Linked DNA regions of Drosophila melanogaster. The protein of the gene in region 2 interacts with the protein of the main gene of each other region in a pairwise test. Each region holds a gene or a part of one and is shown on either strand. Other genes may lie near its edges.

What was found. Proteins that work in one complex are often made in the same cells at the same time.
Region 1: the proteins of CG3223 (region 2) and CG31848 interact in a two-hybrid assay, tested with the Drosophila melanogaster proteins (one large-scale study listed by BioGRID).

Annotation. Positions count from the first base shown.
Region 1 is NT_033779.5:13,263,320-13,270,031, forward strand, and holds CG31848 (uncharacterized protein), read right to left. Parts: upstream 2,558-6,712; 5' UTR 2,466-2,557; coding exon 2,463-2,465; intron 2,398-2,462; coding exon 1,762-2,397; 3' UTR 1,677-1,761; downstream 1-1,676. Other genes in the region: CG44085 (uncharacterized protein), read left to right, coding at 4,412-4,653.
Region 2 is NT_033777.3:8,005,558-8,012,791, forward strand, and holds CG3223 (uncharacterized protein), read left to right. Parts: upstream 1-3,842; 5' UTR 3,843-3,930; coding exon 3,931-4,072; intron 4,073-4,145; coding exon 4,146-4,562; intron 4,563-4,620; coding exon 4,621-5,309; 3' UTR 5,310-5,461; downstream 5,462-7,234. Other genes in the region: CG2698 (uncharacterized protein), read left to right, coding at 200-359; CG2767 (uncharacterized protein), read right to left, coding at 543-591, 660-1,219, 1,280-1,407, 1,775-1,955, 2,339-2,410; CG11052 (uncharacterized protein), read right to left, coding at 2,826-2,943, 2,995-3,104, 3,219-3,235, 3,290-3,494; CG10435 (uncharacterized protein), read right to left, coding at 5,552-5,677, 5,738-6,160, 6,574-7,234.

The sequences.
Region 1 (6,712 bases), on a different chromosome or scaffold from region 2:
CCTAGATCGTTCCCATGATAGTTGATTCAATGATTCACTTTGCCTTTATGACTTCTCTTCAGCAATACACTCTGAATTAAAATTAATTAAGGGAAAGTTCACAATTAATTCGCAGTCAAACGTAAAGAACAATTTCTGCAATTTAATTATTTATTGAATTATGCTTACGTTTAAATTTACATTTTGTTTTGGGGAATTTTATAAGAACTATTGCTCAGATTTTTCCATGATTTTTACTATTTATTTGTTTTCCCGGAAAATGGCTTTGCTGTGCGTGATTTATTCCTTCACACTTTCTCCACAAACAAATATCGAATTTTCATGGCGCGGCTATATTTAATTTTTTTTTTTCATTTTTTACAAATCAATAACATGGCAATTTTTCAACCAGCACCAAATTCGAGCTGCAGGAAAAAAGTTAAAAATCGAAAAAAAAGGCGCTGGCGGGATTTGGTTGCCTATCTGACCAAAAACGACCGACGGTGAATGACGACATGTGGTCATGGTAGGAAAAATACACAGAAATTCGCGTTTGTATGCGCATATATTCCGCAAGGCAACTGAATGAGAAATATTACCGCCATCGATTGTGCAACGGGCTTTTGGGGCAGAGTCTGCGTTTTCGCTTTCACCTGGGTTCGCTGACGTTGACCCAGGCCAGATTAATATAAATAATTGCGAGTACCGACAAGAGCCAGACCCACTCCCAATCCCAATCCCAATCCCAATCGCAAACCCAACGGCTCCCTGTCTGATGTGCTCATGTCATGCAATCAACGCAGCTAAATGACAAATGCAAAACGAGTTGCACACTCAAGTGGCCGTAGAAAGTGATGAATGGCTTCCCTGATTGCGTTTGTTTTTCTTTGATTTTTGTTTTTTTTTTTCGTACGTAAAACTTTTTTCGCCGCCGTTCAGATAATTTTTCAAGGTCAGATACAACAAAAAAAAAGCCAGAAATATTATAGTTTTATACACGCTTGTGTCTTCTGGGCTGTGGGTGTTGTTGGTGAAACGCTAATTTTTATTGGATTATCCATCTTTGTTTTTCCTTTTACTTTTCCGTGAGAGATCGTTTCGTATTTAATGGGGTATAAATTTTCTTTCGTTTTATGTTTGCAAAATTAAGTTTCTTATAAATAGCATCGCATCTGTGTGTTTGTAGGTGTTTATGTTTCTTGCGTTTCTTTAATTTCTATATAGTTTCGGATAATTTATGAGATTAACCGCTAGACCTAAAGGCGTTGATCTAAGCATTTGCTTATGTTTTATACTTTGCTAAAAAATACATTTATTTTAATGTTTAGCTATATTGTTTATAAAATCGTTTTAAAAAGCTATTGCATTTAAGAACCTACTGCAACTAAGTGGGTCACAAAATGAAACGAAAGTGAAAAGAGAAAATCAAACGAAATTGTTTTTTTCAAAAAGAGCACAGCAACATTTAACACATAATTAAAAATCCCATTCTTCACGGTCAGAAGAAATGACTCTAGTATTTTCCGCAATCAGAGGCCTGTGGCTAACTAATTAGATGGCCCCCATGATTGATGTCTGCACAAAACCAAATATCTCTGTCTGACCCAGTTTCTGGCCAGCCAAAGCAGAAATATTGAATGAATAGGGAAACCAATTTCACTGACAGTTCTTTGAGGAACGAATATTATTGACAGCCACTCGAATTTCAAGTGTGCGTCAATTGGCGGCGCAGCACTTAAGTGTTTATTGAACCAAATGAGTCACTCGTCCGGACACCTTTTGCTAGGCGTCCACTTGGAAGGGATCGGGCTCGCCGTGTAGCACGATCTTGACGAAGATCCTACGCTGCTCTCCGGAGAGGCACAGCTCCCGAATGTCGGTGGCCGTGTACAGGAGGTAGTCCGTGTTGCAATACAGCCGATTCTGACTATCCATCAATGGACTGTCCAGGGAATTGCGCAGGCAACGCCATCCGCGCTTCTCGTGGGCATGGAATCCGTCGAGGAGTGTTACATTGGCACTCACCAGACTGGAGGGCACAGCACTCACCAGGTATAAGATGTAGGCCTGCTCGGTGTTCAGAATAGGAGGGCTCACATAGAGCATCAGGATAATGGGCAGATGGTGGACAATCTGCAGATCCGAAGTAACAGCACAACTAAGACCCGGCTTTGGGGCTCCCTCATAGGCGATGACTCCAATCGAATGATTTCGACCCGGTGTCAATTTATCAATATCCACTTCGTACTGCTTGGGCACGTCCTCAGCAATCTCGATCATCGAGTCCTGCGGACTGTGCCGCATCATCAGATGGGCCAGCATCTCGAGTGGCGACATCTGCGCCTGGCAATTGGTCACTGGACACATAGCCGGAATTCCATAGAGGGCCTCCAGATTCAAATTGGCGAATCGTTGGTACTTGGGGTTGAGATTTTATGGAACGGTCAGTTCACGCGGCTTTTCTTGCATTTGTTTTAACTTACCATAGTTTCTGAACTGGATAAATGGTATTTCTCCAAGTATTCGTTAAGAAATTAAACTGAGAAATCTGGTAATGTCTATGAAATGTCAGTGACTTGAAAGGAAACGCTTGGCTAATCATATTTCCTAAAAAGTGACTTTAGCTTTTAAGGGAATTTATGGAGTTGATTATATTATCCAATACTAAAAATACATTCATTATATACTTATTTACAGTCAACTGCTCGATATTCCAAAATGTCGATATGGTTCAGTTAAATTATTAAAGCTACACAAAAATACTTTTCTTGCTCATGGTTAAAACTATATAATGGGATCAAATGAAAGTAGATGACCAGAACTATCCACAATAATCGTTTGCCGATGTTGTCTCTTGACTTTCCCCTTCTTTGTGGCATTTTAAGTTTTTTACTTCGTACAAATTGTGGATGTCGAGCGACAAAAGAAAATGATTTTAGCCCAGTCATTCCGCGTTTTAAATTCCTTAACGCTTTCTTGCCAATTATTATTTAACTGTGCACAAAGCAGTCGCAAAAAATGAAAATAAGACTGAAAGAAAAAAACAGCAGAAAAGATAACATCTTATTTGTCTGTCAAGGCTAGTGGGCCACATTTCCGCAGATGATTGTTCAAATGAGTTAATTAGAGCAAGCCGAGTGCGCAGATTCGATAAAGAAATCCCCCGAACTAAAGATAATGCCGAAGTGGGAGATACCCGTTCTTTCGATTTGGCTTAATCGTGAAAAGCGACAGAAGTAATAAGCAGACGACATGACAGTAGAGTGAAAACAATTAGTAGCACGATAAGAGATGCAGATACAGCCGAAAGATACCAGATACAGATAAACGAAAGCGTCGCAAAGTCTTTTTGGCGTTTAGCTGGAAATTTGTCGCCATCATCGAACTGCATTGACAGACAAATAAATTGCTATACAGTCCGCGTGCCAGTCGGCCGTTTGTCAAGCGATCGATTTTCCTTTTGCGGCACCACCAATACCATCAAAGCGACTGGAAATGTATCTGCAACAAGTTGCCGAACAAGCCAACTCAGATGTGCCGTCCAACCTCCGGCGAACCGAACCCGACTTCAATGCGTCTCGAGAGTCCGCTGCGATCAGTCGCCCAGTGCGCTCCTCAGATACAGATAAAAAAAACGAACCTACGAGATACTTTTTGTGCGCAGCGCGTGTGTTTTCAATTTAATAATTAGTGAGTGAGTGAGTGATTAAAGTCGGATACTAACAGAAAGGCCGGGCAAATGCCATCTTAATTCGGAGCAACTTTAGCTCATGCCTAAAAATAATTCAACTGCGTAAGCGTATCTCTGCGAGACGGAAAACGGCTGGTCCACATAGTAGTGATTCTGTTATAGGTTCCCCCAAAAATTTCAGTGATTCTTCTCCGCCGATGTGAGTCAGCAGACCATTTGTCGGCTGCCCCTTGTCAAAAAAGGTTAAATTCAATTCCCACAATCGATGGTTGAGTCATTCGACCACCTAGGCTCCAATACAGCACCTTTGTTTGCATGTCCCCTGATCGGCCAAATGTAAATCGATTGTACAACCCATTGTACTTGGCTGCTTGAATTGTAACTCTTTGTTCTGCGCACATTTACTGATAAGCGCACTTGCAACCTGGCAAATGGGTTGCAAATATTTTCATTTCAATTGTTTAACTTCTAAAGCGATTCAAAACAGATCTGGACAGCAAAGAAAGCAGAAGGAACTACGGCGTAGCCCTAATAGTTTTATATATGATGTGGAAAAAATTTGCTTTGGGCTTTCTTTAAACCCACTTGCTTGTACCCATTCGCAGATAGAGGTCCGCTTTAAAGATAGTCGACCCACTTTCGTGCTATGCAAGTGTAAAAGCAAAATTCAGATAAAATAGTGTACAACAAAAATAAATTAGTATAAAAGTATTAAAACAAGTAAACAAGAGTCCGCGAGCAATGGCCACCTCAACGCTGCAATCTCCGTCGCCGTCGCCATCAAACGCCTCCGTGTCATCCAAGAATCCGCAGCTGAAGCGCGTAGTGTACTCCAAATATCGGGAACTACTTGGTTCTTATAATGATAAGGCCAATGCCATCATCGACACTCTGCCCGCATATATGGTTCGTCAGGATCGCGGATTTCAGTTGTCGGAGCTGCCCGTGAACGGGGATGCCAATCGCAACGGCCTGGAATTGTCGTAAGTCCGCTACGAGTATATCTATATATTTGTATTTATATAAATATATAGCTAAATTTTCTAAAGCTAAAATGCCAGAGCAAGAGCAATTTCCAAGTAAATATTTATCGCTAGATTAGCTCAACTGCGGAATGTGGGCGGCTGGAGGGAGCACCCTGTACGAACGATCTTCCGATCTCCGACTTCAGAGCCAAGCTATTTATAGCCAAGACGGGCGGACAATGACTATCATTATGTCATGTTGCATGTGGCAGCTTTCAAGTTCTTACTTCTTCTTCTACTTCTGCTGGCTGCCCTTGATCTTGAAATATGCGCGGCCAGCTGCAACTGCAGATTCTTCTAGGCAACTAGTTTGCTTTTACTAGAGGGTAGTAGGGGATATGATGGAACTGGACTAAAAAGAATCAAAAATATAAATTCAATAAATAAATTGAATAAATTAAACGTTATATTAAATGTATGATCACATAATGCACAATATATACATAATAATATTAATCCAAATAACACAATAAGCTCTCGTATAAACATCTCATAAACAAAATATGGCTATATAAGGGATACCAACTAGTTCATCAATCCGGTTTCCAGTGCTTTCCAGAAGACATCACCCGTATCTTGTGGATCCACCCGGTTGCCAGTTAGTTGCAAATGCCTTTAGATACATTTCTGCACGCTCATTTGCATGCGAAAAGGCAAAATAAAAGTCAAGCACACAACAACAAATTAGAAAAGTGAAAATGCGAATTGCACAGATGTTTTTCTATCATTTAAATTTGAAATTGTGATTGCTTGTGTTATTATTGCATGTTTTTAACTCACGCATGAACAGCTGCGACTATTTTACATGTATTTTTGGCAAATCATAAAGCCCAGTCATTAGTCGGTAAAATGGATTTACATTTATTTTTAGAAATGTATGTTTACTTAAGGCTAAGTGCATGTGCAACGCATATGCATATGATTCACAAAGAATATGTGCATGCTTGTGCCAGTAAATTAGTCATGTTGCATTATGATTATAGGCGAACTTTGTATGCCAGTTTATTGGTTATTTCTTCCCGGTTCCTTGAAACTTTTTCCTGGTGCTCTGACATTTTAATTGCCAAATCTGTCAGTGGCTAGCAAACAGTTGGTGGTCTTGTCTTGTGGTCAATTGCTTCTTATCCGCAGCCCCAAGTACCAAGTACTGACGCCATGTCCCCGCCAATTGACGTCATCAGGGGACATCTGTGATTTCAGCGCGTGTATCTTTTAGTTTTTAACGATTCTTTTGTTTTTCGAAAATTTTGGCAACGCATTTTTTAGTTCACTGTGCGTGACGATCATTGGAATTGAGAACAATGAATGGGTATTTACATTGCTTTCGTTGGTTCAGGAAATGTTTAGTGCATTAAGCTGACATTTTTCCAGGCTTGTCACGGTGTTTAATAACTTTTATAGCCCAGCCCAATATGGCAGCGGTCGAATGTTTCATACAGAAAAAACAGTTAACAAAACGGTTGTGTAAGTTGCATTTCCTATCCGGCCATAAAGCATCGATCGACCGATCGAGTCAATAAACGGGGAATAGACCGATCTGAACTGAACGACCTCACAATTTTGGGCACGCCTCGACAATTATGGAAGCTGTTGATGCTATTAATTCGCACATAATCAATGGCAAGTTCAACAAAAAGTTGATGCCCAACCTGACTGGGCATATGTATCCATAGTTTATTATATCCACCATGCCATGTCTATAAGGAGCTGACAGCATTTCTTCGACCATCCCAAATATGGGAATAATTAAAGATTTGTTTTGTTGCGACTCGATTCGATTTAAATACGATTTTCTGTCACTAACCGCAGGGAGTTACGTCATTTGCATTTGACTTTGATGCACGCGCTCCAATTTGCATGTAAGCCAGTTGTGGGTGAGTTTCGCAACCGTTTTCCCACACAACTTGGCCTTCGCATTTGCGGTTTCCAGAGTAGGGTGCCTTGTTTACTTAGTTTTATTTTCTTAATTATTTGGCGAGACCGCAGAGTTTTGGCCGTGTCAACTTTATGGAACAAC
Region 2 (7,234 bases):
ACAAAATGTACCTCGAATTATTTGTAGTCGCGAAACATTTCCAAAGCCTTCAAGTACCGATATCGTGCTCGCTACTAATTGCTTAATGTAAAATTGTGATGTGTTTAAACTTAGATACAAAATGTCTTGCAAATATATTTCTGTACTAACTAACTACCGCTGAATGCAAGCTTTTTTGAATTTGAAAGTGGTTTTCCAGCTCGATTCCTCGAAGGGTCAACGAAACTGTTAACGACAGTATAATAAAAACGAACGATAACACGGATGGAAAGTCTGTCATAGAGGGAAAACCTGTTGAGCTGAAAATCGTAACGAAAACCAAGACATTTCAACTGTTGAATACCAAAGAAAACCAGTAAAGAATTTGTATATAAATATCATAACTACATTTTATCTGTGTATAATGACCGAATTGCGAGTAATTACTTTTTTTATAACTGTTACAAAATAAATGGTTGCTTTTCTATACTTTCGACACAAAGTAATGTTTTGGAAAAGAATTTACTGCGTTCATTTGAATTCTTTTTATATAGCTATGCCGTTTAGTTCGTGTACTGATTCTTGAAGGTAAACTCAGGATGCCTTTCCACACTGTAAACAAAATAAAAATAAATAAATAAATAAAATAGAGGGATTAAAGCTAAGTCATATTTTTATACCCATGGAAGAATGCAAAGTCACAGATTCGAATATTCTGGTCCAGGCTAGACAACTTGGCCACCTCCTCGGCCGTCAGTTCGAAATCGAAGACGTCCAGATTCTGTTTAAGGCGAGCGGGATTCGTGCTCTTGGGAATGGCGGATACACCAGTGTCGATAATCCAGCGGAGGAGGACCTGCGCTGGCGTCTTGCCATGGCTTGCGGCAATCTCCTTCACCTCAGGGATGTCCATCAGGTCCGGCAGATCTCTCACGATGCCCGCTCCAGCATTAAACTTGGCGATTCCCTTGGATCCCAACGGGGAGTAGGCAGTTACGGTAATGTTTTCGGACTTGCAGAAGTCGACCAGATCTCGCTGCTGCAAATAAACGTGGTGCTCAATCTGGTTGTTGGCCGGCCGGATCTTGCAGTTCTTCAACAGACGGGCCACCTGATCCTTGCTGAAGTTGGATACCCCAATGGACTTGGTGAGACCCTTCTCCACCAGGGCCTCCATAGCAACCCAGATGGCTGCGTGGTTCGTGGTAACGTCGACCTCCATTAGGCCCTCCTTGTCGAGCTGAAAGTTAATGCTCGAGATGTGTATAGGAGTTGGGATTAGATTCCGTAGCACAACTACCTTAAAGCTTCCGTCCTCGTTGATATTAATTGTGAAGGGAGTGTGCACCAAATATAAGTCCACATAGTCCAGTTGCAGATCTTCCAGTGACTTTTTGATGGTTGGCTCAACTTCGTGGGGGCGGTTGGCTAAAACAAGGATTATATTATTATTATATTATTTTTGAAATAACTGGACTCGTAATAGTGAAAACTCTCACAGCTATATTTATAGTCATTCACATCAGGTTCATTTATCATATCAAAGAGTCATGTGGTGATAATAAAAATGTTTTTAAATTGAAATTATGAACACTGAAGGAGTCTATGTTGGTGTTTTAAAATCACGTTCCTAGTCTTATTTTATCAACTAGATATCAAAAAGAATATTGGTAGCTGGTGTAAAATGCTTTGGTTTCTATGGATCTTAAGATTCTGTGGGCATAGAACATAGGAACTATTTATAAATGTTTATATGGCATTTTGAAATACCATCCAACTACTAAATGCTACTTACAAACGGGTGGCACCTTGGTCACAATGAACAGCTCCTCCCGCTTGACCTTGCCGGCGTCCAGCCAACGCTTTAGGACTCTTCCGATGGCCTTCTCATTGCCGTAGACTGGCGCCGTATCTATGTGGCGATACCCAGCTTCCAAAGCCGCATCGATGGCGGTTTCGATTTCCTCATCAGATGCCTGCATTGTGGTGATGAAAGTGCGGTTTAGTGGTATTGTATATATATTGATTATAGGATTTGCATAATCTACACTACCCGAAAATCTTCAAACTCGATTTACAACGATATTTATTCTCCCGTGACCAGAGAAAGTCCAGTCCACCAGTGGATATGAATGGTGGTTTATTGTTTGTTTTTGAAAACCGGTCTAAAGTCCCCCAGCACCAACCAAATTGTTGATTGCATCGGAATCGGAATTTCAAGAGATTTAAATGACGTGTCAGCGATTTGTTGAGGTCATTAATAAGTTGAAACAATAGTATTAAGATTCGAATATCTACTATCCATTTAACCACTTACAAGCAATCTATGAAATTACAGAATTAACGTGATTATAAATACCTGCCAGGTGCCGATGCCAATCACGGGCATCTTCTCTCCATTGTTGAACGTTAAGAACTTGGTGTTGACCATTTTGTATTGATTTTTGATAACTTGTACACTAAAACAGACTTGAGTAACAGATTAAATGGAAAAGATGCGGCACAACCTGTTGCTTCGAGGATTGAATTGAAATTAAACAAGAAGCTACGACCCAGTCACCGGCCCACTTATCTCACCCAATCCAATGAGATTCTGCCTTTTGCAAAGCGCGGTCTTACTAGTCGATATTTGTTTAACAAAACAATCGAATTTAAAAATAAATGTACTTACCATAAATGGTTTAAGGCTCGTTTACTATAAAATATCGGACTAATTTATTTGCATTTTAGTTAGATTTAATATTATAACAATAGAAAAATTTGTAGCTCATATCCAAATACTGTATAAGTGTGTGTAAGAAAAATTCAATTCCGTTTCTAAATGATTTTAAGCTTTTAGAGAACAACTAATCCACCACTATGGAGAAGTTAGTGAACGTGAATTCTGAAAGTTCTGTAGTCTCACTGAAAATGCATTTGTCAATTCGACTGGTGGGGCTGCCGGTGTGCTTTAGCCAGAGGCGCCTGTAAAAGAACGGCTTGATAATTAAACGTTGAATGGAAAAAATCACTCACATGGACTCAAAGGAATGTCGGTGTGCTTGAATTTCGCCCTTCACCGTATTCTCGTTGGTGTTTTTGCACCAACCCCGGACTCCCAGCTTTTGAGCTCTTCGCAAGGTGTACTAAAACATGGTAATTGGATTACAGTAAAGAGATTTCACATATACAATAAGAGGTAGCAGAAAATCCATAGCTCAAAGGGGTTTTGAAGATCCCATTTCCCAGCAAGCTCTTACCATTCGAAATGAAACGCCTGTTGGTGCCAGATAACTAATTATTGCGACTATACGATTTGTGAATACCCTACCTTGCACAATGCCGAACACTTCGAATTGGCAGCTGAAGACCGGCTCATCGCTTCTGTCCGATGTTACTCTTTTTTGGAACTCTGTGTTCGAAATTCGGTTGGGCTCCTCGCTGCCTTTTTTGGATGGTGTACCTTTATCTGGTGTCGAAGATGGAAGAGTTACCCTCCTACGTTCACCCTCAGTCTGCGTTTCTTGGGAGGTCATTTTACAACTCGTATATTTAACATATTTGGAGCGGAAACTGTCAAAAATCGATAGGTCGATAGGGATTGAGGGTTTTATTTTGGGTCACCTTGAATTTCAATGGCTTTAAAAACAGTACATTTTAAATGAAATGACTTGAACAAGGTAAAACAAAAACAATAGCAAAAGTTACGTTTTCTTATTGTCAACAAATGAACACTTATGTTGAAAATTCGACAGCAATCCTAGAGCGGTATTTTTAGATCTAGCTTTTTTAGCCTTTTTTAAATCGTCGGTCGACCCGATCAGTCTGGTTCGGGCTATCGGGGCATGTAAGGGTCACCCTGTGTTCAAGGCGGTTCGTTGGAACCAGTTCCGAACTGTCTTTGAACAAAACAAAATCACCCAGACAAAATAGTGAATTACAAATATTACGCAGATTCTACATCAACGCACTATGCATACCGTGTACGCGCTTCTGAAGAACAAGCTGAGCGATGTGCATCCCCTACACAACATCGATCTGACGCGGGATGTGGCCTACCTAAAGGCGGTGGTGACCAAAGAGATGCACTTGCAATTCGACGCCAGCGAGTTGGGTGAGTGACCCTCGGGATTCAAATCGCTGTCCATTGTCTCTATTGTGTCAAGTCATTTGCTGCGCACTTGCAGAGATCATCCACCACGGACGCGTGCTGGAGGACGCAGACACCCTCAACCGAACGCTGCAGCCCAACGCCGTGATCCACTGCTTTCAGAAGATTAAACGTTACTCGCCGTATGTGCCGCCAGCCGCCGCCGAAATCAACACGAAGCATATTCAAGAGCTGTTTTCGTTGACCTCGCACCTGCAAATCAGCGTTACCTCGCGGTTCAACATTCTGCAGAAGATACTCGCTGAGTATCCGGAATTTAGGCGAAATCTGGGCGCCCAGGCCCTTATTCGCGACTCCGTACTGTTCAACATGCTGCACGAGCCGGAAGTGGTCCAAAATCTCGTTAAAGATTATCCCCTCATCTGCGAGGCCGCTCCATTCATAGTGGACACCATTCGCAAGGAGCTAGCCAGAAATAGCTCGGCCACGCAGTGTAACTAATGCCGTATCTATTCTTGATTTGTATATTTTACCCGTTTCTTCCTTTTTAGTGCAGGAGCAAGCTGCTTCGGAGTCTACTACTTCGTCAGAGGAGGAAAACTCTCTGGGTGCAGGCAGCAGCAGCAGTGGTGGAAGCAGCAGCACAGCCGTGGCAGCTGCCGCGGCCGCCAATCGGCGTGATGAGATGGCCAACATCCGTCAGATTAGCCGCCAGCAACTGGCTAACGCATTGGCTAACGTGACCCCGTTTAATTCACTGTCGAATATTGCGCAGAGAAACGCGGACGAGGCCGTGCAGGGTGATGAAAGACCTAGAACCACCTCGGCGCCATTAGCAGGCGTTGGAGGAGCAGCGGGAACAGGCGCAGGAAGCAGCAGTGGAGCCATCAGCAGCGGATCCATATCCTCAGAGTTGCTCCGCAACGAGCTGGCCCGCGCTTTTCAGTCCCTGTCGCAGGATCAACCGGCGCCTGTGGAGAACATGGAGGTGGAGTCCGGAGAAGGACCAGTACCAGAGCAAGCCGCCACAGCACCAGCCGATGATGTAGATGACGAGGACGATGGTGGAGACGACAGTGATGTGCTGCCACGCCGCTACCGTCGCCATCGGTTCACCGAACAACTGCGTACCATGGCCGCCATGGGCTTCATTAATCACACTCAGAACGTTAGTTATCTAGAACTTTCCGATGGGAATGTGGAACACGCTATTAATCTGCTTATGCTGAGCATGAATTAATAAGGATCGGAATTGACTAAAAAGCCAACATAATGTGCTTACTTTACGGACTTATATTTATTCTGCTGCTGAGGATTCTGAAGCATTAAACTCCCAACTTAAGCAAGGAATATCTCTTAATAACTTTTAATAATTAAATATACGTTTAGAGGAGTCATCTTTGTAAGCTAATTGGGGTGGGATTGCGGAGTTTGGGCATGGGGGTAAAAGCCGGCCGTACAAAAGGTTTCCACTAAATTATACTAGTTGATTAGATAGTCCAGCGCCTTGTCCTTATTATTGTTGAACTTGAGTAGCGCCGCCGAGATTTTCGATTCGTCAAAACCGAGGTCCAGAAGTTCTCCCAGTGGAATAAGGTGTTCGATAATCTGAAAAGACGTCCCAGATCGGAATAATGCATTTTGCAAAAGTTTTCGAAACTGACTTACCTTCTTATCGTCGATACCGCATAGACTAACCACCTTTGCCACCCGTTCCAGAGGGAAACCCATAGTACTGATACGTTGGGCCAACTTCTGTGCCGGACCAGCCAGCTCCCTAAAGGAGTTTCTGTCCACTGCCAACTCCACCGTTGGCTGCTGCTCCGCGTTGTGACTGTGCAGGCGGGTACGACGCTTCTCCGCCTGCTGCAGCTCCGTCTTCAGCTCCCGCAGGATGTCAGGCACACTCCTTGACTTCGTGGCTACCTCGTCCTCCGACTGGCTGAGCGCATGCACGGAGGAAGGCGCTGGAGGAGCCTTCAAAAGGTTTTGAGTCCCGAATCCATTGACTTGGTAGTTGCTAAACTGTTGGAAAGAATGCTGCTGCGGAGGGTAGAAGGGCTGGTGACTGTAGCCCTGCATGTGGTACACCTGCGAAAATAATAATTAGCCCATATTTTAAATCGGAGCGTCTGAAAAAAACTTATTTTCGATTGAAATAAAATATTGGGTATCGGACTAATACTTGGTTTATAAGACCATGCTAAGATCGTACTCAAGCTCAGTCAAAATATATTACACCCTCAATTGTGGTACTAATTAGTTTGAGCAATAGCCCCACCCTCGACTTGTGATGAGTTATTTATTTTTAGGTAATCTACCTGCAAATGCTCAGAAATCATCCCGATTAAATGGTATACTGTGAGTGAATGAACAATTTCCTCTTTTATTACAATTTAATGAGTAATGAGGATTGGATTTTGAGAATACAAGGATAGTGTGACATTCAAAAGAATCAAGTTAACATATTATTAAGGCTCTTTAACTAGTTAAAAGTGTCCCACCTGAAAGTGTTCCGGTTTATGCAACGGCTGCTGGGCGGAAGCGCTGTACATGGGCGTTAGGTATTGAGCCGTGGTTGGAATGTGGCTTGGCTCGCCCCTGTCCGCATTATCATCACAGTGAACATGGAAATTGACGCTGTCGAGCGTCGCTTTGGTCTCCGCCAGCGTAGTCATTGCTAGCTCCACCGGAGCTGGCACTTCATTGCCAGATTGCTCCTCCTTGGAATGATCCTCATGCGGCGGCTCCTGCTGCTGCTGATCCTGCTGCTGTTGATCTATGCGCTTCTCCAGCTGTGTCTGGTGCAGAACCTGAGCTAGTATGTCTAGATCGTTGATGGTCTTCAGCTCGATATTGTCGAAAGGTGTGGAGTTCATATTGTACTCAAAGTCTGCGTAGTTTAGGGAGCTGTTACGCTTGTGCAGCGTCTGCGGACTGACCACTGGAGTGGTGCTCAGAATGGTGGGCTGCAAGATATTGTGAAAATTACACACACTTATTGACTTTGGTTCGTGGGAAGAGTCGCGTGACTCAGCGGTGATTGGAGGTGGTGGCTGCTGTTGCTGTTCCTCGTCCCTCTGCTCGGGCTCGTTCTTCTTTCGCTCCTTCTCGTCCTCATCCGATGACAAGTCGTCCGCACTAGGATAATCAACTGCTCCAAGC